Linked DNA regions of Elephas maximus indicus. The protein of the gene in region 3 interacts with the protein of the main gene of each other region in a biochemical or structural test. Links are inferred from orthologs where the notes say so. Each region holds a gene or a part of one and is shown on either strand. Other genes may lie near its edges.

Evidence for each region.
Region 1: the proteins of DLG1 (region 3) and CRHR1 form a complex in vitro, tested with the Homo sapiens proteins (3 studies listed by BioGRID and IntAct, with this or other methods). The link is inferred for Elephas maximus indicus from reciprocal best matches to the Homo sapiens genes DLG1 and CRHR1.
Region 2: the proteins of DLG1 (region 3) and ARHGEF16 interact in a test that uses a peptide from one of them, tested with the Homo sapiens proteins (2 studies listed by IntAct, with this or other methods). The link is inferred for Elephas maximus indicus from reciprocal best matches to the Homo sapiens genes DLG1 and ARHGEF16.
Region 4: the proteins of DLG1 (region 3) and RALBP1 interact in a test that uses a peptide from one of them, tested with the Homo sapiens proteins (2 studies listed by IntAct, with this or other methods). The link is inferred for Elephas maximus indicus from reciprocal best matches to the Homo sapiens genes DLG1 and RALBP1.

Annotation. Positions count from the first base shown.
Region 1 is NC_064837.1:52,544,670-52,551,870, reverse strand, and holds the start of CRHR1 (corticotropin-releasing factor receptor 1), read right to left. Parts: upstream 3,019-7,201; 5' UTR 2,979-3,018; coding exon 2,946-2,978; intron 1-2,945.
Region 2 is NC_064821.1:42,076,845-42,084,033, reverse strand, and holds the start of ARHGEF16 (rho guanine nucleotide exchange factor 16), read right to left. Parts: upstream 3,018-7,189; 5' UTR 2,870-3,017; exon of another isoform or gene 2,579-2,869; intron 2,023-2,578; exon of another isoform or gene 978-2,022; intron 522-977; exon of another isoform or gene 1-521. UniProt on the Homo sapiens protein: Guanyl-nucleotide exchange factor of the RHOG GTPase stimulating the exchange of RHOG-associated GDP for GTP. May play a role in chemotactic cell migration by mediating the activation of RAC1 by EPHA2.
Region 3 is NC_064819.1:18,851,792-18,858,822, reverse strand, and holds the start of DLG1 (disks large homolog 1), read left to right. Parts: upstream 1-4,013; 5' UTR 4,014-4,187; intron 4,188-4,847; exon of another isoform or gene 4,848-4,937; intron 4,938-5,400; 5' UTR 5,401-5,431; coding exon 5,432-5,450; intron 5,451-6,120; coding exon 6,121-6,252; intron 6,253-7,031. UniProt on the Homo sapiens protein: Essential multidomain scaffolding protein required for normal development. Recruits channels, receptors and signaling molecules to discrete plasma membrane domains in polarized cells.
Region 4 is NC_064829.1:13,772,960-13,780,053, reverse strand, and holds the start of RALBP1 (ralA-binding protein 1), read left to right. Parts: upstream 1-4,093; 5' UTR 4,094-4,332; intron 4,333-7,094. UniProt on the Homo sapiens protein: Multifunctional protein that functions as a downstream effector of RALA and RALB. As a GTPase-activating protein/GAP can inactivate CDC42 and RAC1 by stimulating their GTPase activity.

The DNA.
Region 1 (7,201 bases), on a different chromosome or scaffold from region 3:
CTTTGTGTAACGCTGTGAGATGGCTTCTACAATAACAAAAGCAATGCAACCAGTTCCCTCAGAATTCACGCTCCCTAACCCACATAGCTGTGCCTTCTCTGCCCCTCACAATCACTGGAACCACAATTTTGAGCCATACTTGGGTCTCCCTGTGGGGAGCTGCAGCTGGTGGGTAGATGACCCCAACCCTCCCCTGGGGGTCGAGAAAATATCTCACCTCTCTCTTCCCCCTCACTGACACTCATCTCTCTCAGCTCTTTCTCATCAAGCACACTCCAACACACACACACCTCTTCTTCACGCACACATATGCACTCATGCACATTCACAGCACTTCTTGCTCCCGCATTCACACACATGTACCCTCAGTACACACTCATACGCAGCTCTTCCCATACACACTCCCACTCACACATCTTTCACTCAGGTACACTCACACACACGCACACTGTCACTCATGCGTACACGCTCACACACACTCTCCCGCAGTACACTGTAACCGGTACAGTGTTTTTTAAAAAAAACAGGTGCTACTGGGTCGTTCCCATGTGTGTCAGAGTAGACCTGGTCTCCATTGGGTTTTCGACGGCTGATTTTTAGGAGGAAGGTCACCAGGTCTTTCTTCCAAAACACGTTCGGGTGGATGCGAGCCTCCAGGGACTCCGGTAAGGAGCTAGGCCCAGAGTGGATCCTTTCCCAAAACTGGCCGACAGAGCCAGACTTTGTTGGGGACAGAGCCGGATTCTGGATTTTCCATAACTTCCCTAGATTCACACTCACAAAGCAAACTGAGCTCTCATCTGGTGCAGGTCTAAAGTGAGACAGAAGTGGTTTAGAATGTTTTCTGGCAAAAGCTAACAAAACAAAGTCTTAGGGCTGGAGTTTGAGTTCTGACTCCATCAATTACTAGCTGTGTGGCTTCGGAGAGGTTACTTAGCCTCTCTTTACTTCAGTTTCTTCCTCTATAAAAATGGGGTTTTACTCCCTACCTCCTAGGGCTGTTATGCGGATAAAATGATAATATTTGCAATGCAGGTAGAACGTTGTCCTGCAACTTGCACATGCTACATAAATAAAAGAAAAAAAAAACCAAGCAAGTATTGAATTGAAGCCAGCATTAACCCTCCATTCACTCACTGCCCTGCATTGGGTCAGCATTGATTGAGCACCTACTGAGTTCATTAGACCAGACACAAAGGGCACAGACCCCGTTATCTGGTAAAAAAATAAAAAAAGAAAGAAGTACAACCTGATAATTATAAATAGAGATTTGAATACAGTTCTAAGAAAAGCCAGAGAAAGAACATTTACCTATTACCAAGTAAACTTGGGGCGGGGGGGGGGGGGGTCACAAAACAAAACCACTGGCTTTTGTTCCATCCCTTGAATCCATGTAAAAGATTGAATTCAGTCTGATTTGTGAATTTAGACCAAGGTTTGGTACACAGGAGCTTTTTGGAAAATGTTCCCATCGAATGCCATCCATTCATCCTCTCTGGTATTTTTCTTTCTACCTGTCTTGCCAGGTCTGGGTGATCACGCAGAAAATATTCCCTGGGTTCACCCCAGCCCTCAGCTAAAGGCGGGGGGGAGGGAAGGTATGGGTTCCATCTGACCAACCTTGTGTCATTTTTTTTAAACAACCACTGATAAAATATTTGGGCTGGGAAGAGGAAAGGAAAACCCTTAATAACTGGGAACGTCTCAGCTGCTGAGCCACAGCAATTTGTTTTAAAAGCTTGGTGGTTTAACTCAATGAAACCACTTTGTGAGCCGGTATACGCACAGTTGGTTTAATAACGGATGGAAAAATAAAATTCAATCAATCCGCACCCCTCCCCCAAATCCATTCCATTCTTTTGAATGAAATCGCTTTTAAATGCACCAAGCCTGGTTAACTGGTGTTGGCGGCTCAGAGGGTCCACACCGACCCTGCGGAGTCCCGAGATCCGCGGCAACGCGGTGAGCTGGCGAGCGCAGCGCTGGGCTCCCCGGCGATGGCCCGAGGCCCACCCATTCTCCAGCCCGCTGCTGCAGACGTGCCTGCACCCAGGGAGCCGAAACGCTTTGGGAAGCGCCCCGCGCGGGGAAGCGGCGGCTGTCACTAGTGGCGGGCCTGTCTGTCCCCCAGCCCATCGTCGGCTCCCACCGCCCGCGGGCAGGGCTCCGCCGCCCCGGAACTTCAGCCGGCAGACGCTAGGCGTGCGACCTGGCCACTTTCCTAAACTCCGGGGCCCGAAATCGCGTCGCCAGGCCCGGGGCAGGAACGAGCAGACGCGGCCGGCGGAGCAGCGCCGGGACCTGCCGGTGCAAAGGCTCGGAGAACAAGCGCTGCGCTCCCGGGTTGCCGCTCCCGGCCGGCCAGCAGCGGCGGAGGAGCTCGCCCCACCATTGGAGACACCGTCCCCTCCCCGGAGGCTGCGATATCCATCAAGGGCTCGGCGGAGGCGCGAGGGACATTAATCTCCTTGGGTTTGCCGCTTTCCGCAGAGCCGAAGGGGCAGGGAGGAGGTCCCAGGACTGGAGGCTGGGGCGTGCAGAGTAGGGGAGCCGATAAAAGGGTGCTAGGAACAGGGTGGGGACCCACCTCCAGAGCCTCCTATCCCATGGCCGCGCTCCGCATGGGCGGGATGGGACGTAGAAACGAGCTTCAGCCCCCACAGCTTGGAGCGAGTCTCCGCACCCAGCCATTCCCGCCGGTGGGCGGGCAACCTCCTCCGCCAGCATCCCGGCAGTGTCGCCACACGGTTTCTTTTTTCACCTGAGCTCCCCCACCCACCCAGCCCCGGCTCCGGTCCCGGGAGTTCGGTTGCTCCTCAGACCTCCGCTGCCCCGGACCCGGGCACCTCTCTGCCCCGCGCTCCCCGCATCCACCCCTGCCAGCCGCCCCGCGCCAGCCGGCGGCCGGGGGCGCCAGGCTCGAGGGCTGCCCTGCGCGCTCCTACCTTGACAAGCAGGAGCTGCGGGCGCCGTCCCATCCTCGGGCTCGCTCAGTCACGGTCCTGGATGCCTAGGTCCCTCGAACATCACAGAGGGGCCGGCGGGCGGTTGCTAGCTAGGGTGGCGCAGAGTGGGCGGCGGGGCTCCCAGGTCGCTGCCCCGCGCGGAGGTGCTTGTCGCCGCACTCCTCGGCCCCGCAGCTCGGCCCGGCCTGGCGGGCTCTGGCTGGGTCCTTCGCGGGGAAGTCCCGCGGCGGTTCCCCGACTCAGCCCCAGTCTGCAGCAGCTTATCGCCAGCTCCGAGCGCGCCTCGCCCCTGCCGCCTCCCCCTCGGTCCGCGCGGCTTCTCGCCTGGCTCCCCGCCCCCAGCCTCGCGCTTCCCCTCCCCTCTCTGTCCCCTCCCTTCCTCTTGGTCCCTCCTCCGCGCCTCGCCCCTCCGTTCCCGCCCCCTCCCTCCACCTCTGTCCACTGCCTTCCCTCGGCCTCCTCCTCGCGCCCTCCCTCGCTGACCCCTTTCCCTGGGCCCGGGTTTGCGGCAGTCCGCGGGACGCGCTGGCGGCGGTGGCGGCCACCGCAGCCCAGGGAGAAGCCGAGGATGGGGGGCGGGGGAAGTAGCAGCCTCCCGCCGCCCGTCTTATCTGAAATCGGGCCCGGGAAGTCCAACGGAATTTGGGAAGGGTTAGGGGGCTCCGAAGGGTCTATGAGAGTGAGGCTATTGGAAGCTGGAGAATCGGACGGCCCAGCAGAGTCGAGCCGCCGCGGAGATGGGGTGAAGCTGGGAACTGCGTTTGGGCAGTTCTCGCTTGCGCTGGCAAGGAGAGGGTCCCCGCCGCCCCCACTCCAGCCAGCGCCTGACGCCAGGGCCCGACCCCCAGAGCCTTTGATACTGACACGCCCGGTGCGCGCTGAGACGCGAAAGCTCGGCTAGAGAGCCCTTCCCATTCATTCATTCATCTATTTTCATTTATTCATTTTACAAGCTAGGTGCCTGCTCAGTTTTGCCTGGGAAAGGGCTGGGCCTGGGGACCCCAAAATGAAGGGGGAGACGTCAGTGCCCTTCAGGGCTAGCCTGCAGCTAAGAAAAGAAAAAAGAGGAAAAGCTGTGCGCGCATTGCGCTACAGCGCTGGGAACACAGCTGGAACCTCGCGCGCACGGCGTGGAGGAGGCCGCAGCGCCCCCTCTAGGCCGAGCTCGCAGGGTAGGGGTGAGCGGCTCCGCCAGACCTTGGAGTCTTCATTTGGGTTTACCCCGCAGCTCGCCATCCTATCGCCAGCTCTGGGATGCAGCTCTCTCTTTCTCCATTTCCTTAAGTTTTTCCCTACAGCCCTTCCAGATGGACAGCACTTTTGACTTCCTCCTCCCCCCTTCTCCTTCTGCCAGAACTGAGAAGGAGTCACCTGAGGGAGAGAAACCTTCACTCCACCCCGCAGAGCCTTCGCCCCAAATGCCGCGGATGGCAGCCCCTCTGTAGGTAGCAGAAACACTGTGGGCAGAGCATTGTCCCATAAAGGCCATGAGCTGGCTTTGAAATCAAACTCTGAACCTGGCTGCCCTGGGTTCTGTGCTCTGTTGCTCACCCCCTTCCATCCACTTCTCAGCACATTGGGCAAGAACCAGCACATTCACGGGTTCAATCGACTCTTCATTTGGAACTGGACTTACTGTAAGAGTCCATGTGATCCAACACATGGGAAACTGAGGCACACAAAGGGATGGGGACTTGTCTAAAGTACCATAGCTGGTGAGCCTAGGGCTCAGCCTCCTGATTCCCAGTTCACTGACTTTCCCAGCATGTTCTGCTGCCTTCTCCCATGTTGCTTACCACCCAGGAGCACCCAGATTCTAAGTGCCGGGAGGGTTGGCCTTTGACGTGGTTTAGGATACTGAAGTGGGGAGGGCCATTCATTGCCCAGGAAGCAAGCCGGTTATATTGGCTGAGCCACACAGGGTGGCACTTTCTAGGTGAAGCCACAGTCCAGAGCCTCACAAAATTCCCACTAATTAGTGCCCCAGAGCTGGTCATGCTGAGCCAGAAGCTGACTCACCCTGGCCATTCCCAGAAGACAGGGATGGATGTAACAACCAGATTGCCAATGTTGGTCTCAACAAAAAGTAACTTTAGAGGAGTCTAGTGTAGTGCTGATTCTGGAGTCAGACAGCCTGGGTTTGAGTCTTGATTCTTTGCTTTCAAGCTGTATAAAACTGGAAAATCATGTAACTGTCCCTCACTTTTCTTGTCTGTAAGATGGAGGAAAGGAATACCTACCTGGTAGAGTTGTTGATTGGATTAAATGAGTTAATATTTGCAAAGGGCTTGGAACATTACCTGGTACTTAATGAGGGTTAGCATCACCATCATCACTCGTCTGTCTTTTGTCATACTGTGGTGGTTTGTGTGTTGCTGTGATGCTGGAAGCTATGCCACCAGTATTTCAAATACCAGCAGGGTCACCTACGGTGGACAGGTTTCAGCAGAGCTTCCAGACTGACGGACTAGGAAGAAGGACCTGGCGTTCTACTTCTAAAAAAAATTAACCAGTGAAAACCTTACGAATAGCAGTGGAATATATCTGATATAGTGCCGGAAGATGAGCCCCTCAGGTTGGAAGGCACTCAAAAGACGACTGGGGAAGAGCTGCCTCTTCAAAGTGGAGTCGACCCTAATGATGTGGATGGAGTAAAGCTTTTGGAAACTTCATTTGCTGATGTGGCATGACTCAAAATGAGAAGAAACAGCTGCAAATATCCATTAATAATTGTGGAATGTCCAAAGTATGAATCTAGGAAATTGGAAGTCATCAAAAATGAAATGGAACACATAAGCATCAATATCCTAGACATTAGTGAGCTGAAATGGACAGGTATTGGTCATTTTGAATTGAAAAATCATATGATCTACTATGCTGGGAATGACAAATTGAAGGGGACTGGTGTCACATTCATAGTCAAAAAGAGTATTTCAAGATCTATCCTGAAGTACAACGCTGTCAGTGATAGGGTAATATCCATATGTCTACAAGCAAGACCAGTTAATCCAAATATTATTCAAATTTATACACCAACCACTAAAGCCAAAGATGAAGAAATTGAAGATTTTTACCAACTTCTGCAGTCTGAAATTGATCAAATATTCAGTCGAGACACATTGATAATTACTGGTGATTGGAATGCAAAAGTTGGAAGCAAAGAAGGATCAGTAGTTGGAAAATATGGTCTTGGTGATAAAAACAATGCTGGAAATTGCATGATAGAATTTGCAAGAGCAAAGACTTATTCATTGTAAATACCTTTTTTTGACAAGGTCAACAGTGCCTATGCACATGGACCTTGCTGGTTGGAATACACAGGAATCAAACTGATTTAAAAAAGATGATGGAGAAGCTCAATATCATCAGTCAGAACAAGACCAGGGGCCGACTCTGGAACAGACCATCAATTGTTCATATGCAAGTTCAAGTTGAAGCTAAAGAAAAAAAATTAAAACCAGTCTGCAAGAGCCAAAGTATGATTTTAAGTATATCCCACATGGATTTAGAAACATCTCAAGAATAGATTTGATGCTCTGAACACTAATGACCGAAGACCAGAGGAGTTGTAGAATGACATCAAGGACATCATACATAAAGAAAGCATAAGGTCATTAAAAAGACAGGAAAGAAAGAAAAGACCAAAATGGTTGCCAGAAGAGACTCTGAGATTTGCTCTTGAATGTAGAACGTGGAAGAAATGATGAAGTAAATGAGCTGAACAGAATGTTTTCTAAATGTGATTAGAGAAGACAAAGTATTATAATGAAATGTGCCAAGACCTAGTGATAGAAAACCAGAAGGGATGACTATGCTTGGCATTTATCAAGCTGAAAGAACTGAAGAAAAAATCCAAGACTTGAGTTGCAGTATTGAAGGATTCTATGGGGAAAATATTGAATGACAAAGGAAGCATAAAAAAAAGACAGAAGGAATACACAGAGTCACTGTACCAAAAAGAATTGGTCGATGTTCAACCATTTCAGGAGGTAGCATATATGATCAAGAGCCGATGGTATTGAAGGAAGAAGTCCAAGCTGCACTGAAGACATTGCCGAAAAACAAGGCTCCAGGAACTCATGGAATACCAATTGAGATATTTCAACAAATGGATGCAGCGCTGGATGTGCTCTTTCATTTGTGCCGAGAAATTTGGAAGATAGCTACTTTGTCAGCTGACTATAAAAGATATGTATCTGTACCCATTCCAAACAAAGGTGATCCAACAGAATGTG
Region 2 (7,189 bases), on a different chromosome or scaffold from region 3:
GACCTCTGCCACCAGCTTCCAAGCAACCCTACTCTTGGAGCACCTCTGTCCCTTACTGCTCACCAATCAGGAGAGTCCAGGGTTCCAGGTCCAGCTGATCCCACCTGACCTTTCTGGCACCCATCTGGACTCGGCCTCTGCTAACACAAACTCGACCCACAATGATACCTTTGTCCTTGGGTAATTCTGCCTGGCCAAGCTTGGGACTGGGATGCACACACAGTTTGGGGCAGGATTTGGGCTGTGTAAAACACACCAACACAGAAAACAGCCCCATTCACAAGGTGGCCAGGGGCTTAGCTCCATTGAGTGCTCTCAACGGGGGCAATTTTGCTCCCAGAAGACACTTAGCAGTGTCTGGAGACATTTTTTCGGCCAAAACTAGGGGAGGGGTCCTACAGGCATCTAGTGGGCAGAGGCCAGGGAAGCTGCCAAACAGCCTGCAATGTACAGGATAGCCCCTACGACACAGAATGACCAGAACAAAATATCAACAGTGTCCAGGTCAAGGCTAACTGGAGGCTCACCTTCACGGAGAAAGGCGAGGGATGGAGACCCACCTGGGCCTGCCCACCTCAAACACAGCCCTCCCACCCCAGCCACAGCCCTCCCACCCCAGCAGAAGTGTCCCACATACCTCTTTACAATGACGCTCTAGGCACCAGTAGTTACCAGATAAAAAACAACCCCCCCAGCTCAACAGGTCAGGGCCTGCCCTCCCCCCCAAGGCCACCCATCACTCCCTAGCTCCCAGCTCTGAATCTGAACGTTCCTATAACCGTAGGCCCCCCTTGCACCATCGGCTGGACTCCAGACACCCAGGGCCAGCTTGCGCACATAGCGTGTTCCCCAGGAAGCACACGGTGGAAATCAGAACCCTGACAGGTACCCTGACACGTACCCCCACAGGTGACACTTCCCCCGCTCCCTGGCTCTGAAAGGCACACACAGGCTTTGTCCTCCAAACGCTTGCTCACCTATGTGTAGTCCCTCATTGAACTTCTGGAAAATGGGTCATTTCTCTTTCTGAAAGGTGAGGAAACCAGATGCATAGGGAATGTGACCTGCCCGGGGCCACTCTGCTGGTCAGCATGGAGTCAGGTGAGGACCCAGACACACCCCAAACAGGAGGCTGCACACAAGCAAATCGGGCAAGCGAGGGTTCTGGACTCATCCACAGGGTCACTACAGATAGAGATGCTGTGATGCACAGCATTGATCACCCAAGCACCATGCCACAGCTAAGAAGACAAGCACCGAGGTCGACCCAGAAACCAAAACTGAAACTCCAAGAGCCAAGCTCCCCATGGGTGTCCAGGCAGGAAGCAATGAGGGAGACCCCTGCCAGGCTCACTCAGTCTCATCCTCAGTGACATCAGCTTAGGGTGGGAAGTCTTCCGAGACACCCAGCTCCTACCTGGACTGTGGAGATGCTCCTTCTGTCAGCCCGGATCATGCGCAGAGCTGACCCTATAACTGAGATTCTTGTTTTCTCTGGGACTGCGGCATCATTAAGGGTATGGCTGAGCCGGAACAGGAGCTCAGCAGCAGTAGCTGACTGACTGAACAATCTCTGCCTGGGCTCTCCTATTACTCCCATTTTACAGGTGAGGAAACTGAGGCACAGAGTGGTCCAATAATTTGCCTTAGTTCACACAAAGCCAGAATGTGAGCCCAGCTGGCCTGGATATACTAGGCTGCCGGGTGGGTGGTGGCATTGTACGCAGGGCGCAGGGTAGGGATCCTCCTGCTAGCCTCAGCCAGGACCTGCAGGTGCCATGCATCACTGGCCTGGGGTGGCCCAACAATGACCCCTGAGCCCCTCGCTAAGTGGTGCACAGGGGGTTCACCTTGGGGATACAGGGAAGGGTCGGTCCCTGCCCAGGCCTGATGGGGAGGCCACCACCCACTTGTCTTCACTACTACCTACTTAGCCCAGCACTTGCTCAAATCCTCAAAGGAATCCCTGCTTCTGTTCTACAGATGCAAAAACTGAGGCTGGGGCTGCTAAGACCCAGTATGTGGCCCCCGTAGCTTTCATTAGCAGAAGCTGCCAGGCTTCCCCTCTTAGCTGGAGGCACAGAGCTGACAGGGCTCCTCCACCAGCCCCCACCACCCCCACCCCCCACACACACCGAGGAGGGTTCCTTCTTGGGCTGCTCTGAACTCTCAGGGCTAAAGGAGGTTTGGAAGCCCATCCTGGGAAGAGTTCCTGGGCAGGTCATTCTGTCCACTTTCCTGACCCCGCCTTCAAACTCCCTGGGCTTCCTAAGAGTCCCTCAGCTCTGATGTCAAGACCGAGCTACCTGGAGGCAGAAAATTCTTTAGGGCCAGGATGTGTCCCCCTGGGGGTTCAAGGGAGGGCCGGAAGGTCGGTGGGAAGGGCTCAAGGGAGGGCAAGGGGCAGGCAGTGGGACATCCGAGGCCAGGATGGGAGGGTGCTCTATTCCCTCCCGCAGGGAGAGGGGTTGGGGCGAGGGCACAGAATTGTCAGAGACACGGGGCAGGGCTTGCGGGAAAAGCCAAAGGAAGGGAAGGCGCACCCCCCAGGCTTAGCTGCCCCTACCCCCAGGCTTACCTGCGCCGCGGGCGGTCGGGCGGCCGGTCCAATCCCCAGGCTCGGCGTTCTGTACTCCCTGCGGCGCTCGGTCCCTCCCGGTCCCCGCCCTCCCCCACTTCCTGTGCAGCCAGCCCGGCGGCAGGGGCGGCGGCGAGCTCCAGCCCGGCCCAGGTGGGCTCCCGTGCGGGCTGCAGGACGCGGCCCGGCGGCTGCGGGTCTGGGGCCCCGTCGGAGGGCGGGCGCGCGCTACCGACGAGCGAGAGGGACGGGACGGAGCGAGCCCGGGCACCTGCTGCTACCGCGCCTCACCTAGCTGGTCGCCTGCGTCACCGTCTGCTCCTGGGCCGGCCCGCACCCACGTGACGCGCAGCCTGGTCCGGCTCGCCCCTCCGGAATGGGCCGGAGTCCGCTGGCTGCGCCGCTCCTGGGAGCTCAGCGCGGCTCGCGACCGGTCCCCTCCGCCCAGGGCCGCGAGGGGCGGGGCGGGACGGGGGTGGGGGGAGCCGAGGGAGGAGGAGGGGCGTCCCGGCGTTGGGACCGGAGTGCCTGGGCTTCCAAGATCGTGTCCCTGAATCAACTCCCACTGTCCTTCCGGCCCTCCACCTCCTCCAGGAAGCCCTCGGGGAAGGAGACCACCGGAGTCAGTGGCAACTCACTCAGTGCTGTGTTCAGGCAACCTGGTGTTTGCAAGAAGCTGGCGCCTGACCCACGGATTCCCTACTTGCCAGCCTCCACAACCGCCTTTTTTTGAGCCCTTCTTGGGGGCTGGAGCAGATTTTGCTGCATCAGGCATTTCTGAGTGAAAAGAGCTGAAGCAGCTCTGGGGGGAAAGCATTCAGAAGGTGGGCTATTTCTGCAGCTGCCGAAAGGCGTCCCTGACTGGAGCAAACTGTTTACTCGGGTAGTGTACTAACCTAACAATGACCGCACCCAACAACAACTAACCTAAAGTTTGTCAGTTGGAACCCACCCAGTAGTGCCATGGAAGAAAGGCTTGGCGATCTGCTTCCATAAAGATTGTTGTGCTGTTAGGTGCTCGGGAGTAGATTCCAAATCCTAGTGACACCATGTGACAGAGTAGAACTACCACCATAGGTTTTCAGAGTAGAATGGCCAAGAAAACCCTATAGAGGCAGTTCTACTCTGTCACATAGGGTCACCATGTGTCAGCAACGGGATTTGTGTTTTTGGTGGCTACAGAAAACGGCCCACCTTCTGCATGCTTCCCCTCCAGAGCTGCTCCAGCTCTTTTCAAGCAGAAATGCTTGATCCAGCGAAATCTGCTCCAGCCCCCAAGAAGGGCTCAAAAAAAGGCAGTTGTGGAGCCTGGAAAGACCCAAATCCATGGAGGCTTCTCCTGACTCTCGTGGTTGCAGGGGCTGATGAACCCAAAATCAGCAGGTCAGGGGGCAGGTTGCTGGCTCACATCCCAAGAACCGGAGGTCAGATGACCACGAGTCAGATGCAGGATCCAGAGCAAGAATTGGGCCTTGCCGGATCATCTGTTTATATACTGGAGACAGGCCACACCCTCAAGGAAACTCTGCTTTCAACTGATTGGCTGCTCATAGTAGATGTCATCATGGAGGTAATTACATTGCATCAGATCTCAGCATGGAGGTGATTACATTGTATCAGGTCTCATCATGGAGGTGATTGCATTATATCACATTATGGAAGAGCAAGCAGCCTGCCAAACCCCTGAGAATCAGGGTGCTCAGCCACCTCCCCTGCTGTAAGCCCTGAGATGTCAGGCTTGCTTGTTATGCAGCAGCATCTGCAGACCCTGACTGATGATTCCTCTCTCCTGGCCCTTCACCCAAGGCTGGTCCAAGAGTGAAAGCTGGTCTGGACGTGGATTAGTGCCACTGCCCCAGAAAAGGGCCACAAAACTTGAGACCTAGAGGAAGATCAGGAGTCAGCTTGATGAGAGGCGACAGAAAAGTATTCTAGGCAGGGGCATGGCACATGTGAAGGCCCTGAGGTGGGAAGGAGCCTGTGGGGCTGGGAGCAGAGAGAGCCTGGGAGCAGGGTGGTATGAGAGTGGGGACAGGCTGGACCCCTTGTGGCTGGGGAAGGGGGGTGGGAAGTCTGTCTTCATTTCAAGAGCAGGGAGGAAGTCATGGTTTAGCAAGGGGGCAGCCCCTCCCAGTGGCAGGAGCAACCCAAGGAGGCACCATGATCAGATGTGGTGGAAAGGCCCCTCTGGCTGCCAGGGAAAGAGCGGGATGAAGATGGCTGAGACAGACACCCTGACTCCCTAACCCAGACCAAGCCTGAGTGTGTTGAAGCTGATGCTATCCTGCCTCTGCTTGAACACTTCCAGGACGGGGAGCTTACCACTTCCCAAGACATACTATTTCATTGTTCCTTGCTACTGTCTTTCTGTAATTCTTCATATTACATAAATTCTGTATTGTTCGTCATTGCAGGCACTCCACCTTTCCCCAAGACGCTTCATTCTGCCCAAATCCTATTTAAAAAGTGGTCACCAGAACAGAGCTCAAAGCCTAGGATGAGAAGAAGAGAAACAACGCTCACCTCTTCTTTTCTAGATGCTATTACCTCTGTTAAGGCAGCCTCTTCTTGCCGAGACTATGATGTATATCCATCCCATAGTACCAAGTCCAGGGCCCTGCATACAAAAGGTGCTCAGCAAGTGCCTGGTGCCTCACAGATGTGACCCAAGATTCTAGACCTCAGCTGAAGAAGTGCCAGCTCCACTCCTGACTCCATCTCCATGGCCCACTTTTCAGGAAAGGCCATTGCCAAAGTTTCCATTTGGATACTCCATTTGGGCACTGGCAGCCCAGGAGTAGACCGGACCTCATCCCAGTGCCGCCTCCCCAGGGCCTGGTAGCCACGTGAGCTTGCTGCCCTCTGCTGGGTGAGGACAGCTCCTCAGGCTCCAGGCCCTGCCTTGGCATTTTCTTGGTGTCCTGGTTTGGACGGTGGTGCTGCCCAGCAAACCTGCAGCCTGGCCTGCTCAGTCCCTGCCCAGCAACTTCCCTCCTCCCTGTCCCCAGTGTTTGCCAAGCAGAGGGGCCGGGGCTGCTAGGGAGCCCGGAGGTGCTCTCCTGTGTGCAGGGGCCACCTGAGCAAGGGCACAGGCTGGCCATGTCGGTCCCCAGTGTGGAGTGAGGGGCGAAGAAGGGCTGGTCCGTGGATGGTGATCTGGGACCCGGAGCCTCTTGGCTCCTGGACTGACTTCTGGGTAAACCAAAAAACCAAACCCACTGCCGTCGAGTTGATTCTGACTCATAGCAGCCCTGTAGGACAGAATAGAACTGCTCCATAGAGTTGCCAAGGAGCACCTGGTAGATTCGAACTGCCGACCTTTTGGTTAGCAGCTGTAGCACATAACCACTACGCCACCAGGGTTTCCGACTTCTGAAGCTCCTAGAAAAGGCGGGCAGGCTCTGACCCCTGTGGCTATGCCAGGCCTGTACCTCTATGGCCCAGCACACAGGAGGAAGAGGAGCAGCTGTGGTAGTGGAAGAGGGGCCTGGACATGGTACCACTAAGGCCAAGCCTGTCCTGCCCTTCCTGGCCTCCCCACCAGCCTGGTAAGAGTGTCAGCCTCAGGGAATGTAAAGCAGCCCTGGGAGCTGGCCTGCCATGTGGCCTGTAGTTTCAAACGTCTGGGCCACTTGGGGTCATCTCCTCTTTCCTCTCATCCCCCAGAGTCCTGGAGATGACCCCACTGTTAGAGCACTGCGCTCCCAGCCCCTACCCCCCTGTGGTTCTGGGGACAGAGCAAGCTCCTGATGCTTGTCTTGGAAGGTAAGAGATGGCTCCTGCCCAGGCACTCACTAAGTGAGGGGACCACCCACAGGGTCCCTGGCAGGGGGAAGAGTCTGGACCCCCAACCCTGACGGCTATTGGAGATTTGCTGTAAGGATGTCACCGCTTGCTGTCTGCAGGAGGAGCTGGCCCCTTTGCTGTGGTTGAGGGGTCCTGTGCACCTGTGAGGCCTGCTTTAAGTCACCCAGACTTGTGCTTGGCCTACTTTGGGTCGTGTCTGGGCATGACCCAAAGAGATAGAACCTTCAGGCCAGCACCCCCAGGAGGCTGAGGCTGTGGGACATGTTCTCTAGGCCAGGACCGGGTGGCAGTGCCAGCCTGCCCACCCGGCCTTCCCTGGGGGCATGGCACTTGCCCCAGGAATGTGGGGGGCGGAAGGAAAGGGCCGAACACCCACGCCTTTCTTTTCAGGCCTTGGCATTGGGCTGGCCTGTCCTTCCCTGCAGGGCTGCCTCTGCCCTGCCTGCAGGCGGCTGGGAAAGGGCTCCCGTTGACCTTTGATGATACAGAGCTGCCAGGGGGCCTGTGGACAGAGGCTGCTCTGTCTGAGCTGGCTACTGGAAGACCCACGGAGGGGTGGGGCCAGCAGGCGGGTGAGGGGGTGTGGGGGGTAAGCGGGCCAAGCCGTTTCACTGGCCCACCAGGATGGTTTTGCTAAGCAGGCGGCTCGGCTCAGGAAGCAAGTGGCTGCTCCTCTGGCAGCCCCAAAGCAGCAAATGGGAACTTGACAAGAGAGTTGTCACCTTCTATGAAGCGCCTACTGTGTGCCAGGCCTGGTGCTAGGTGTTTTACAGGCACCGTCTTATTAAATTCTTACAAGAACTC
Region 3 (7,031 bases):
GTTCAAGGCATTCAAATATATTTATATAATAAATATGCAAAAGACCAATGCATTATTTATGCTTTACTTTATCTGAAATCTTTCTCAGCACCCCCTCCCTTTCTCTCTCTCTCTCACACACAGTTTTTTGTCTTTTTTAAAGAAAGGAGGCAAGTAGAAAAAAAGCAATGTAGCCTAATGGAAAAAACCAGTGAAGTAACATTCAGTCCTAGATCCATTACCAGCTAGTTGTGGTGTCCTAGACTAGGTTATTTATTTCCTTCTTCCTCAGTGTTTTCCTCTGCAAAGGGAGAGATAATAAGCAATAAGTTTATCTCATAGATTGCTGTGAGAATGAAGTAAGTTAAATCTGCCCTTCGAACAATGAATGAAGAGCTATACTGTTGTAAGGGTATTATTATGTGTTTAAATGGGAGGTAGTTATTTGTCCTACTCCCACTTAGGAACCCATTACACCACAATATAGAAATTTGAGGGTGAGTCCCTCAAGCATGAGTTCAGTAAGTAATTGTCATGGAGATGGACAGTTGTACATACTTAAAAAAAAATTGGTTTCAATTGTATTTTTTATTCTGAAGGTAAGAATTATCTATGCAGAAGGAAGTCAGTCTTCAGTAGAATGAAATCTTGATGTATATAAAGTAATACTAATGCCATGGCAAGGGCTAAAGTTTGAGGGCTTAGAACTGTGGTCTCAGAAGTCACCTAGTTTAACCCTCCGTCTTGTTCATGTACCTAACACCTGAAAAGAAGGCCTTGCTGGGTTCATGCAGCCTCTGCTTGTTGATGTAAAACTCTCCACCACTTGAGGCAGTTCTTTGGATTTTTGGACAGTTTTGACAAGTCATGTTAAGGAAGAACTTCCCGTGTCCCTGTAACTTTCATCCTTGGTTTTAGGTTTGCCCCGTGTAAACATAAAATTAGCCAGTTTGAAGATTGAAATCAAGTTTCCCAGAGCCTACTCTTTTCCCAATGAATGGCCCTAGCTTCTATAAGGGTTTCATATCCCTGACTGCCCTGGCTACTCTCTTCTTTCCGGGTGCTGGTTTGTCTAGATTCCTCTTAAAGTGTGCTGCCAGGAAATGTCCCTGAGCCCTAGTGGAGGTCTGACCAGGCCAAGCATGGTCACTTCCACCATTCTCGACATTCCATTCCTCTTCTTGCAGCCTAAGCTACCATAAGCTTTTTTTGACAGCATCAATTCCTTTCCTTTTAGTGATTGTCTTGGCACAGGCAGCAAGCAGCCATTCTCCTGTAGTAAGAGCAAAAGATTCAGTAGAATCTGGCAGGGCCTGGGCACCTTTACAGAGGATAGGTTGGGGTCCTGGAGAGGACAAAGACAGAGACGCGGTGCTAGAAGGGTGGCTTGGGTAGAAGGATGGTTAGGAAGAGAAGGTTTGAAACTGAGAGACAGTATTGTTTGATATTGGATCTCCAACGTCTCAACAGAGGAATGGAAGATTTGAGCCTTTCCTTGAGCTTTTTTGACTCCTAAGCCTTTTCAGGTACTTGAAAGAGAATTAACTTGGGGCTAGAAAGTTGTGCAGAGTTACCAGCCACCATCTTGTTTTAGTAGTAACTTCCTTTTTTCAAACATATATTGTTTTTGAATGCAGAGGTTGGAAAAGCAATCAGATCCTATATGGGGTCCTATTCAATGGCAGCTTCTAACAACATAAAGTAAGGAAGATGTTGAGGAAATGGAAGTTGTTTGAAAAACTCCAAATGTCATTGTTTTGTATGTTGTGATAATGCGGTGGCCAGCTGCCAAGATGGTTCCCAGTGGTATTCATGCCCTTGAGGCTGACCTGGGTAATCAGTAGGATGTTGTGCAAATGACGGAGTGTTACTTTGGAATGTAGGTCATAAACATTGTGGCTTTTGCCTTGCCCTCTTGGATCACTTTCTCTGGGGACATTCAGCCACCATGTCATGAGAACACTCAAGGAGCCCTATGAAGAGGTGTAAGAGGTCTACATGGTGAAAAACTGAGTCTGCCTGTCAACATATGAGTAAGCCATCTTGGAAGAGGGTCCTTTAGCCCCAGCCAAGCCTTCAGATGACTGCAACCTTGGTAGACATTTTGACGACAACCTCACGAGACCCTGAACTAGGACCATCCAGCTAAGCCGCTTCCGAATTCCTTAAGACAGAGTAGATCTGTCTCATAGGGTTTCCAAGGAGTGGCTGGTGGATTCAAACTGCTGACCTTTTGCTCTTAACCATTGCACCAGCAGGGCCCGACCCACAGACTCTGAGATATTGCTTATTGCCATTTAAGTAACTAAGCTACTAAGTTTAAAGCTTTGAAGTAATTTCCTATGCAGCAACAAATAATTAACACGAATGGGTAGAAAGGAGGAACAAGCAGTAAAGGTCCCCCTCCCCAAGCCTAGACTTGAGAATGGAAGAAGCACTAGCTTCATTCCTGCTTTTGGACGCTGCTGACAACTATATAGGACTAGAGGATGACAAGAAAAAAGGGCGATGCCTCTTCTTGTCTCCTCTTCTGTTAGCCCCACCCCCACCCCCTTCGTTTTTTAGAGGAGGACTAGAATGACTTTGAGAGTTAAGACAAATTTTGTCTTTAACTCCTCGGTGACCCCTGGGAAAGGCTACATTGGATTCTATCCATTTGGTCTTAAGCTGTGGGTCCTTGAAAGCAGGGATTGGATCTTATTTATTTTTATCCCCATTGGCTAGCAAGTGAACATATATGAACACTGAACGGTATTTTAAGGGAGAGGGCAAACTTCCCTCCTGAATTCTGAAGAGATTCCATTCTTAGGTTCCACTCCTTATCATTCCATTCACAGTTGATCGCTGAAGCTTGATCAATCGTAACACTCACACCATTAGTTATTTTCACTATTAAAAAACTTCCATCCTTCCATCCTGTTTCCTCCATGCATTGTTGCTTTAACTGTTGCTCAAGCTCCCAAGATGCTTGACCCAGAATAGCATAGCGATTTGCTCCCAATATACCAACACACCTCTGTCATGTTGTCTAAAATCGCACTGGAATGAGCCCTGGACTGGAGCTAGGATACCCTATTTCTGGGTCTGCTCTGTTACTGATTAGCCTGTATGTTCCTGGGCAATTTACCTCATCTCTCTGGACCTCAGTTTCTTTAACTTAAATCGAGAGAGCGGGTCTAGATGAGCTCTGAGGTCGTTAGGTTACAAGTTAGGATTCCGAAGTGCAACCCAGAAGTGAAACCCAGCCAGTGGTCAACCCAGCTCTGGGTAGCTGTTGCGGTTTCAATACGAAGTACCCGTGATGCAGTCTTAATGAAAGGCTGTCAGGTTTGCTAGGAAGAACCTTCCGGTTTTGTAAGACAGGAGCTCCGGGTTTCCAGTTCTGCCACTAATTCCGGGTGACCTTGGGCAAATCCTTTTCTCTGGACCTTAGAGAAGGGAGGTTCTTGTTATCCACAGACTAGAAGACCTGGGCTTTCCACGGTTCCCGTTCAACAATCCGGGTGGCTCTGCCCCAGAGCAGGATCCTGGCCCATTTTCCCTCTTCGAGATTCAGTCGAAACTTAGACCAGCCCTACTGGCTGAGGGCGGCTCAGCCTTGCAGGATTACAGGTGAACTCTTAAAGGGGCCACCAGAGTTTGGGTAATACCTGAGACTGATGGCTGGGCGAAGACGCAGGCGCAGGGGAATGAATGAGTGAGTGAATGAACCAACGAGCCTCCTCACCCTTAAATGCACTTATACTGGGAATTAGTCATTTAAAAAATTCTCTACTACATCTCTCAAAGTCTTACCAAATTACCCAATCTTCCTATTTTACGTGCCCTTCTTTAATTCAAAACTTCCAAACTCTTTATGAGGAGCGAAGAGTAACTTTGCAAAAACCAGTACAAAGTGTTGAGGTGGCACCCCCGCCCTAGCTCTTCTCCTTTTCTCCTCCCAATCCCCGCTGTCCCCGCCCCACACGTGGGTGGTGCGGTCTGCTCCTCCCCAATGCCGCTTCACCCGGCTGGGGACCCACCCCCGGGGGCGCCAGGCACTCTCGGCTGCCTCGGAGTTGGAAACAGCACGTGTTTAGTGAGGTTAAGGGTGTATACGAATGTGTGTGCTGGATCCAGTGTGAGGGAGGTCACGTCTCTTCAGACACCTGGACCCTTGCGGGCTCGGCGCGCTTTTAGCTCAGAACCGCGGGACACCGGTGGGCTAGGTAAAGGCGGGCTCTTCCATGGCTACCCGGGACCACCTGTAGAGTCTGCGTGTCAACTCCTTTGTCCTCGGCGCCACTTCAGTGGCCGCCCCTTTAAGGGAGAAGGATCACTTGGGACGCTCTCCGAGTCCCCCTGCCCGCGCCGCAGCCCCCTCCCGGCCCTGCTCCCCGTTTAACCCGAAGGTAGCAGCGCCGGGAGCCCCGGGCTCGGCGCGAGCCGCCTCCTCACTTCCCATTGGCTGAGAGCGCCGGGAACGCGGTCACGTGGGGGCGCGGCAGTCCAGCTCCGAGGCCGCCATCTTGGCGGAAAGTTTGGGGGGAGAGCGGTTGGGGGCGCGGAAGGAGGCGAGGTTCCGGGGGTGGGGCGGCCGGGAACGGAGAGGGCGAGCGGGCTAGCGGGCTGCGGCGAGCGCGGAGGCTGCGGCGGCGTTCGAGGAGGAGGGAGAGGCAGCGGGGGTGCGGCCGCGGAGGGGAGCTCCTCCCCCGTCCCCTCACCCCTCTCAGCTCAGCTCCTCGAGCCCCGGGCGGGGCGGGGGGACGTGGAGCAGGGCAGGGCGGGGCAGCCGCCCCGAGTCGCTTCGGAGCGCACCCCGCTCGGAGCCCACGCCTCTCGCAGGAACTTTGTGGCGGAGCCGCAGGTGTGGGGGACCGCGGAGGCGTGCATGTGGGGCGCGAGGGCGTCGCGGAGAGCGGCCGCTGTCCTGTCCGGGCCCCGCCGGAGTAGCCCGGAGAGAGCGAGCAAGGAGAAAGGCAAGCGAGAGGAGGGGGCTGGAACAGGGCGGGTGCTCAGCCCGGTGGGTCCCTTCGGGAGCGCTTGGCGGCCGCCGCTGGGCTGGCTCCGGGGCCAAGGGTCGGAGCGCCTCTTGACCCCTCCCCCCGTAGCAGGTGGCGAGGCCGGATACTGGGGCCAGGGTTGGGGAGGTGGCCCCAGGTCTAGGCGTTTAGTGTTCTTGGAGGAGGAGGAAGCTTTCGAGGAGAATTTGCAAGAATGCATTTCTGTGTGCTCTTCATCTGGAAGGGTACCCACCCCGAGGTGAAAGCCTTCTAGATTGATTGACAGCGCTGGGTTTTGAGTCCCTCCCTTTGACTTGGGAAAACTTTGCAAGGTGGGCTGTTCCAGTGGGCCTGGGAGTTTTTCCGATATGGAGTGTGGGGAGAAATGCTAGTTTAACGACGACTGTATTCTTTTTCCTTTGTGTTTGTGGCTTTAAAGGTGTGTGCCCTCTTCCTGATTCTGGAGGAAAATGCCGGTCCGGAAGCAAGGTGAGAATTTGTCTCAGAAGTGTCTCGTGTGGGTGTCACTTAGTTTTCCATGTATCTGTTTTGTGATTGTTACCTTTCAGAATGCTTGTGTAACTTTGATGAAACAGCACGGTCCTAGCTTTACGATTTGGGGAATTTAAGCTTCACTTTATTTCAGAAGAAACCTAAATGTTAAAACTTTTTCCTTGACAGCTCACCAGTTACTAGAGAGTCAGTTAATATTTTCTCCTGAAATCTTTCAACTCTGAATTGGTATTTTAGTGTGTCACTTTATACTTCTTACTATTTTGTGAGCAAATGTGGGATATTAAGTACTAGTATTTTGCAAATACTTAGGATTTGAGTTATAACGACAAATTGCAGCTTTTGCATGTCAGGTAATCTGAAATTATGTTGGTAATACCTTAATCTTTTACTGTGGCTGGCTACCAGCACACATTTATTAGAAATTACTCACCTGCCTCCTTTTTCTACTGTCAAGTAACGTGTTTAAAAAAATTTTTTTTGATCTTCCTGGAGACTGTACGTTTACATGTACCTGGTGACATCAGTTGACCTGGAGGATTTTGGGAATTGCTGAGATGTCTTGCACAATCATTTGTCTGCATAGCTAGTGGGTAATACTTTGTCGTGAATATATAATTTCAATCAGGCCTTTTTCTCCTTTTAGATACCCAGAGAGCGTTGCACCTTTTGGAAGAGTATCGTTCGAAACTAAGCCAAACTGAGGACAGGCAGCTCAGAAGTTCCATAGAGCGGGTTATCAACATATTTCAGAGCAACCTCTTTCAGGCTTTAATAGGTGAGAATAAAACTTTGTGACCGTTATGTGTCTATTAGGCGTAATCTTCCTTTGAATTCTGTTATTTTAAATCAAAGAGAATGAGGTACTTGGCTTTCTATGAGGCATTCATCACCTTGAATGTCTTCAGTGAGTTGTATGTTTTTGATACACCGGTATGTTTTCCGAAAATACCTAATAACCAGAATAATTTCAGCATGATTATACCAGTGGTCTTTGATAACAGTGTTTCATATCTTAGCATTAAGTATTAAAAGTATTAAAAGATGGAAGACATTGCAGAAATGTTTCAGAACTCAGAAGGTCGTTAACTGAATTATTGTTGACTTGGTTCTGTACTTGATATGCCTTTCTCAGGAGCACTGTAGGGTTCTGCTGTGTTCAAGAGCATTCATTGCCTTAACGTAGACCCTGTTTAAACATTGCGTTTGTGGAGTCAGAATTTTAGACTGGACATGATCTCAGAGACGACCTTGATAATAACTTTACAGACAAGAAAATTGAGGTAGAGTTTTATTCTTAAGTGTAGCTTAAGTTTGAAGTGATAACATTGTTTTTAAAAAAGAACCTGTGTTAGCTGTAGAATGCAGTGGTGAAGTAGAACAGTGATTATTAAGGGTCTCCCACCCCTTCATAAGCAGTTAGATAATTTTTAAAAACAAAATCTTATGTTTTGAACACAAGCTCTGATATATAAAGCAAAGTGCTTTGGGCTCCTTCAGATACCTTGAAAAGTTTTCAAACCCACTGAACTAGATTTATCCCTTTCAATTCTAACA
Region 4 (7,094 bases), on a different chromosome or scaffold from region 3:
TTCCCTTTCCATCTGGGGTTCCCTGTTTCCATTGATCCAGTTCCTGTCCCTTCCTGTCTTCTTGTCCTGCTTTTGGACAGGATCTGCCCATTTGGTCTTGTGTATTTGATTGAACTAAGAAGCACACTCCTCACATGTATTAATTTTTGTTTTATAGGCCGGTCTAATCTTTATCTGAAAAGTGAGTTTCAAGAATGGTCTCAGTTCTGGGTTAGCAGAGCATCTGGGGGCCATAGTTTCAGGGGTTTTTCCAATCTCTGCCGCACCAGTGAAGTCTGGTCTTTTTACTTGAATGTGAATTCTGTTCTACATTTTTCTCCTGCTGTCTCTGGGGCTCTCTGTTATGATCCCTGACAAGGGAGTTGTTGGTGGTAAGCCGGTACCATCTAGTTCTTCTGATCTCAGGCTGGTTGAGTCTCTGGTTCATGTGGTCTTTCAGTCCTTTGGGCTAATATTGTTCTTGTGTCTTGGGTTTTCTTCATTCTTCTTCGCTCTGGGTGATTTTTTTTTTTTTTCAATACTTTTAAGTGTAGAAATTCCACTTGTTTCTTTTTTATAAACTATTTTTCTACTAAGATTCTCTATTTAAATATCTTTTCCTTTAATTCCTTGAAACATTTCCTTTTATTTTTAAAATAGCTGTTTTGAAGAGATTGTCTTCTAAATCTAATATTTGGGCCCACTCAAAGTCAATTTCTATTGATTTTTTTTTCCCCTGTAAGCGGGTGACACTTTCCTGTTTCTTTGCATGAATTCCTTTCTTTGTTGAAAATGTAATATTTTGTATATTTCGGCAACTCTAGATGCCATTTTATTTTTCTGAGCGTTTTGTTTTTTGCATCTCACCTAGAATTAAACTGCGGATCTGCCTTTCCAATGGGTTGTGATTCTTGTGTTTCTGCTCGGTTTATTGTTTTTAATATTTATTTTTGGTGTAAACATACACAGCAGATCATATATCCATTCAACAATTTCTACAACGGATAGTTCAATAACATTGGTTACATTTTTCATGTTGTAACACTATTCTTGCTATCTGTCCCCGTGTTTTTTCACTACCATTGACTTACACTCACTGCCCCATAGACCACTCATCTTGCTTTAGAGTTACTGTTGTTAATTTGGTCTGACACAGATCAATTCTTTAATCTTTTTTTTTATTCTGATTTTTATCTTTAACCTGGCTTTCTAGAGGTTACCCCATGTCTGCATGGCTGAGTGATCTGTCAATGAGCTGAGCAAAAGTTGTACTCAAACAACTTGAGCTTGTCTTCCTCCTTCTGTCAATTAATCTATGTGTGGATGGAGGAATGCATTCAAAATTACTACCAGTTCCCAAATCCGCCTTGGCTTTCACTTTTTTTTCAGTGGGTCTCTTGGGTTACTACCACACATGTACAGTTTCCCAGTCATTCAGAGATGTGTGGAGAACAGCGCTTCAATGACTCTTATTTCCAGTATCTCCCAGCTATATTTCTGCCTGGTTTGCCATTTACTCTACCTAGAACTGCAACTTTGGGGTAGCAAAGATATGAGTTTTCCCTGTTCATTTGCAACTGAGTTTGCTACCTTTAACTGGTAAAGCCATTTTTTTTTTTTTTTACCTTCTACCACAAATTGAGTCCATCTCCTCTGGCAGCAAAGCTGCTGGTTTTCTTGGGTAGCCTACTCATGCTGGTAGTATTTGTTCTTCTCAATGGAGCTGAGGCAACAATGGAGGATAGGAGCGGCCTTAGGCAAGTAGGCCATAGACTTCCACTGTTCCTATTTGAAGTTCTATCACTTTTTCTAGATGCCTCTAAAGTTGTCATCTATGTTTAGTTGACTTCCAGTGTTCTAAATGGTTGTTTTTGACAATTTTTTCCAGTTTTATACTTGTTTTGTGTACAGAGGAATTGCTGACCTGTCATGCTGTCGTAACTAAAGTCCCTTCCACAGATTCTTTTTATGTAGGTAGTAACCTATATTAGTCATGATCTTTCAGTGTCATAAGAGAAGTCCAACTCAATTAGTTAGGACTTTCAGAATTCTGAGTACAGAAAACCCAATACAGACTGGCTTGAACAATATAGAAAACTTATGGATCACAATTCACAAAAGGTATGATACTGCAGCTCTAATTATGCCATCAAGAACAAGGTTTTTCTTCATCTCCCCAGCACTCAATTAATAGTATTGATGTCATCCTGAGGCTTTACCGGTGCCTTCCTCCACTGGTGCCCTCCTCCGTAAGCCAGCATACCTCCAGGTTCCCCCCTTATAGGAAGAAAACAGTTACCATATTTCCAGACCTCATATACTCACATCATACCAGAAGTGTGAGGAAGCTGCATTTTACTAGAAGCCCAGTACAAGTTTCTGCAGAGCTCACTGGCCGTCTTTAAAACTCAGAGCTCTGCAGAGCTCACAGTTGCAAGAGGATATGGATATGCTGCATGGCTTAAATAGGTGAAACAAATGCCTGAGAGTCAACCAACAAATATCTTCTATGCCCACAAAAACTGGCCCTAAATAACGACAAATAAATGAATATACTGGCTCACCCAGCTAGACTCACATGCTCACAACCACTTAAGGATCAGCCTCTGAGACTGAAACTACAGTCATTATGCGGCCAGCTCTGCTTTCTCTCCTCTTCATTTCTCCTTTCTTTTCTGTTTCCGTCCTTTGGCCTCTTTTATTCTTACTGCAGACAGGCCTCTTTATGTTGCAGGGCATATGGCCATGAGCAAAACCTCAGCAGAACGCTTTTTTTTTCCCGTTCTCTGTCCATATAGCAATTTCAGGCAAGGGCTCCATAATGCCCAGCTTGGGTCAGTGCCTATCCTTTGGCCCAATGCATGTTGCCAAAGGCAAAGAGTATTATTGCAATTGGCACCATTGCATGCCCATCCCAGTGGTTAGAACAGATTGTTCTATTGCCAGAAGGGGCAATGAGAAAGCTTTTACACAGTCAGAAAAACAATGGCTACCCCATACCGTCTCAGTTCTAATTGTGGGAGACCTTTTGCTTGCCAGCCAGCACTTAACTACTGTGCCACCAGGCCTGAACTTTACTGGGTAGGAAATGCAGAGCGCAGGAGACAAATTTATCAGATTTTAGAAAAACTGCAGGATGGATTGCAGCGGTCATGTGGGGATGGAAGTGATTGTGAAGGACTATCTACCCCAAATCCTCTCTCTTCCCTAATAAACAGCCAAATTTTATAAAACAAGAACACTTCCAACAAACCAACCAACCCGGGTTTCCAGCCTTCAAGGAGCATCAGCAGAACAATTCTTTAAGCCTTGGAAGGACTTTCCTTAGCCCTCACTTCTGGAGTAATCCAGTTACTTCCACTCTTCCTCATGATTCAGTTGTTTGCGCGCTGAACATGTGTCTGGGCATTTCTAACTCAAGTATTGCTTTGTAAATGTGCCAAAGAGGGTGGTAGAAGACAGCAATTCCGCAGCCGGCCAAGAACCAAGGGCTGATCCTGTCAACACTCATTTCAGGAATTCCGCGGACGGTCCTTCCGTGGAAGTTTTACACCAGCCTTTTTTCCCCCACTGGCCCTCGCCGCTTCCTTTTTCCAAGGCCCTCAAGCAAGAGTTCCCACCGCAATAAAAGGTTCCGCACCCAGTCGGAAGCCAGGAAGACGCCCCACCCAGCGGCAGGCTGGGCCGGCCTCCCAGGCTCGTCTAACTGGTTAGGACGACTAAAGCAAGCCGGCACAAGATTGGAGCTTCGGTAGCTGAGGACACAGGCTGGTCAGAGCGTGGAGAGGAAAGCTATTTCCTTTCTCAAGACCATCACAAGAGCTGTCCCAAACGATCTTGGCTAATACGTTTATGGGGTAGGTGTTCGTCCCACCCAGTCCCCCAAGACCAGAACTGCGCAGGCGCCTGCACAATCCTAGCGCGGCGCGCACTCTCGCGCGCTCCCTCTGTCCCCGGAGCGAGCGCCTGGGCCGGAGGAAGCGCGGAGCTTCCTGGGTGTTGTAGTGTGCTCCTTCTACGAGCGGCCCCGTGAAGGCCCAGAGTGGGGCGTACGAGAACTACTTCTCCCGGCGTGCCTCGCGCGAGGGCACGGGGCGTTTGCCCTTGACGGCCTAAGCAGTCAGTCTACGGGCGACAGGAACCCGGGAAGCTGGCAGCGGCGGGAGGACTGAATGCGCGTGCGCATTGAGCCGGCTCGTCCTGTTTCGTCCCAGTCATTGTAAACAGGCGGAGGCTGGGCGGGGTGGGAATGGGGCTCCTGAGGCCGACCGGGGGCGCCGCGCAGGAGGCGGCTACGGTGGCTGCGACGGCAGCGTGAGCGCGGGGAGGCGGCGGCTGCGGCAGCAGGCACAGGTCAGTCGCGTGGAGTGGTGGTGTGCCGGATCGCCACGATGCCCCTCGCCTGCCCGAGGACCCGTCTCCGGCGCCGGCCTCGCACCGAGTCTGTCAGGCAGCGTGCTGGGCTCGGCGCTCGCCGCACTCCGTTTTGGAGTTGGGGGTTGGGGGGCGTGGCTGCCCTAATATTGATTCATACTGGGCAAGGTTCGTCCCCATTTCTTGCTGGCTTGGTAACCGTCCCCCCAACTTGCGGGGCGGGCCTACCCTAACGGCATCTGCATTTGTGATTTGGTGCTCCCGGGGTCTGTAGAAGAGTTAGGAACCAAGGACCCCCCTGATTCTCCAGGCCCCAGGAGAGCTCTTTAAGGCACACCTGAACGGAGGAGAGAGGACTCAGCCTTTTATATTATCATTAGTTTTTAGTCTTTTCCGAAATATTGACCTGTCTCCAGTGCATGCTGAGGGGACTAGAAAAAGGTTCTTAGTTTTTCCCAGCGCTGGCATTGAAGCACTGGGGGTCCGTTGGGGACTTTGGTCCTTAGTTTGGGTTTTACTGGGAAAGGACTGGCAGCTCTAGCGTTGAGGATGCTTTTCACAACTGTTCTTCAAATATGTTTTTCAAATATGCTTGTGCCAAAATGCTCTTAATTGAGGTCAGCTTTTTTTTTTTTTTTTTTTTATCCTGTAGTCTTGCGAGCGAAACAGGTTTTATAAAATATTGCACACCTCAGGCTTACCTGAGGTAATTAAGCTGTTTCAAGCTTTGGGATTCACTACTGCAGAGTAGCCCTCTTGAGCAAGCAGCATGTGTCCTCTAAGGCCTAGTAGAGTTCTTGAATATTGTTAAATTTCCAGTTGGAGTTATTTTGAAGGTATGTAAAAGAAGTACTGCAGTAGGTGCATTGACTTCAGTACCGATAAGAAAAGCTTTCACTAAACTTTTTGTTCAGTGGAGTGGGCGTGTTCTAATGGTGCAATACTTTGGATTGCATTCCATCATACTCGAGCAGTTATTCGCAAAGTATTTAAGTGGCGATAAGGAATAGGCCAGAGTACCTGGGTTGCACAAATGGTTAAGTGCTCAACTGCTACCTGGAAGGTTAGCACTTCAAACCCACCCAAAGGCGCCTCTGAAGACAGGCCTGGTGATCTGCTTCTGAAAGGTCACAGCCTTGAAAACCCTGTGGAGCACAGCTCCACTCTGCACACGTGCAGTCACCATGAGTCGTCATTGACTCCACAGCAGCTACCAACAAGGAATGGTTTGGTGCTCCCCATGGCAGCACATCTGAATGAGTGGGACTGCGAATGGGAAAGGTCACTTCACATTCTCCTTTTAGAATTATCAGGGCGACTTGATAATTCCTTTCTGAGTACCTGCCTGAACAGGAGTAATTAATGTGAGCTATAATAGTATTGGCAGTAGTAGGGGTAGGGAGGAAGTCAGTAGTGTAGTTCCCACTTTTCAGAGTGACCCACAGATCCAAGTCAGATAGGCTTTAGCAGTAGCTGTTGGAAAGTAATTCCTTAAATAATGTGTCTTGAAACAAAGTAACATTATAATTTAATTTGCTATCTCATCAACATGCTGTTTCTCATTATAGATCTTGCAGGGGCCATATCTCTTCTAATTTAGGAAGGTAGATGCGGCATCAGAAATGCACGTTAATTTGTACAGTTGTGTTTGTACAGTTGTTTGTTTAGCGAGGAGAGATTGGGTCCAGAATATAACCTGAAAATATGTTTTCTTTTTTGAAAGAAAATGCCTGGTAGAAGCTTGTGTTAGTATATGCAAGAGGGGACAAGGCGAAATGCACATCATTAGTATAAAGAGGAATTATGTAGCAGGTACTTTGCCAGATGAAGAGTTCTTCAAGATGGATAAGGCAGTGTCCCTGCCTTCAGAGTGATAAGACTCTCTTACTTGAACTGTCAACAAATGTAATACATTTTAAAGATTACATTGATTAGAAAAAGTATAGGGGTCCAGTGGGTGTAAAAGGAAGTAGTGATCAATTTCTGAAAGGCAGAGAAAGGGATTGAGGAAGGAGGGGGTGGTAAGGAAAAACTAGATCTAGTGGGTGATGAAAACAAGTGTAAACCAAAAAAACCAAACCCGTTGCCGTCGAGTCGATTCCGACTCGTAGAGACCCTATAGAACAGAGTAGTACTGCCGCAGAGAGTTTCCACGGAGTGCCTGGTGGATTCAAACTGCCGACCTTTTGGTTAGCAGCCACAGCACTTAACCACTATGTCGCTAGGGTATGTAGGCATAAAAAAGATGGACAATTTGGTGGATGGAACAGTGAGCAAAAGCATGGGAGTCTAAAATTACATGGGGAGTTGTAGGATCTGCAAGTAGTTTGTATAGTTGGCTAGAGTACAGGGTGGTGGCAAGACATGAAACTGGGGAGGTAGGCAGAGACCAGACTATGGATGGTCTCGTATGCCATTGAAGTAATTGCAACTTTATCTTGTAGGCACACAGGAGTCATTGAGAAAGGACAAAGAAGGGACACCTAAACCAGCTGAATCCATTTTTAACTCCCTGCTGAGTCCCTGGGTGGTACAAAGGGTACAAAGTATTCTGCTGCTAACTGAAAGATTCACGGTTTGAATCTACCCAGAGGTACCTCAGAAGAAGGACCTGGCAATCTATTTTGGAAATGTCATAGCCATTGAAAACCCTATGGAGCACAGTTCTACTCTGAAACACATGGGTTGCCATGAATTGGAATTGACTGGACATCAACTGATTTGGTTTTGTTCATGTGTCA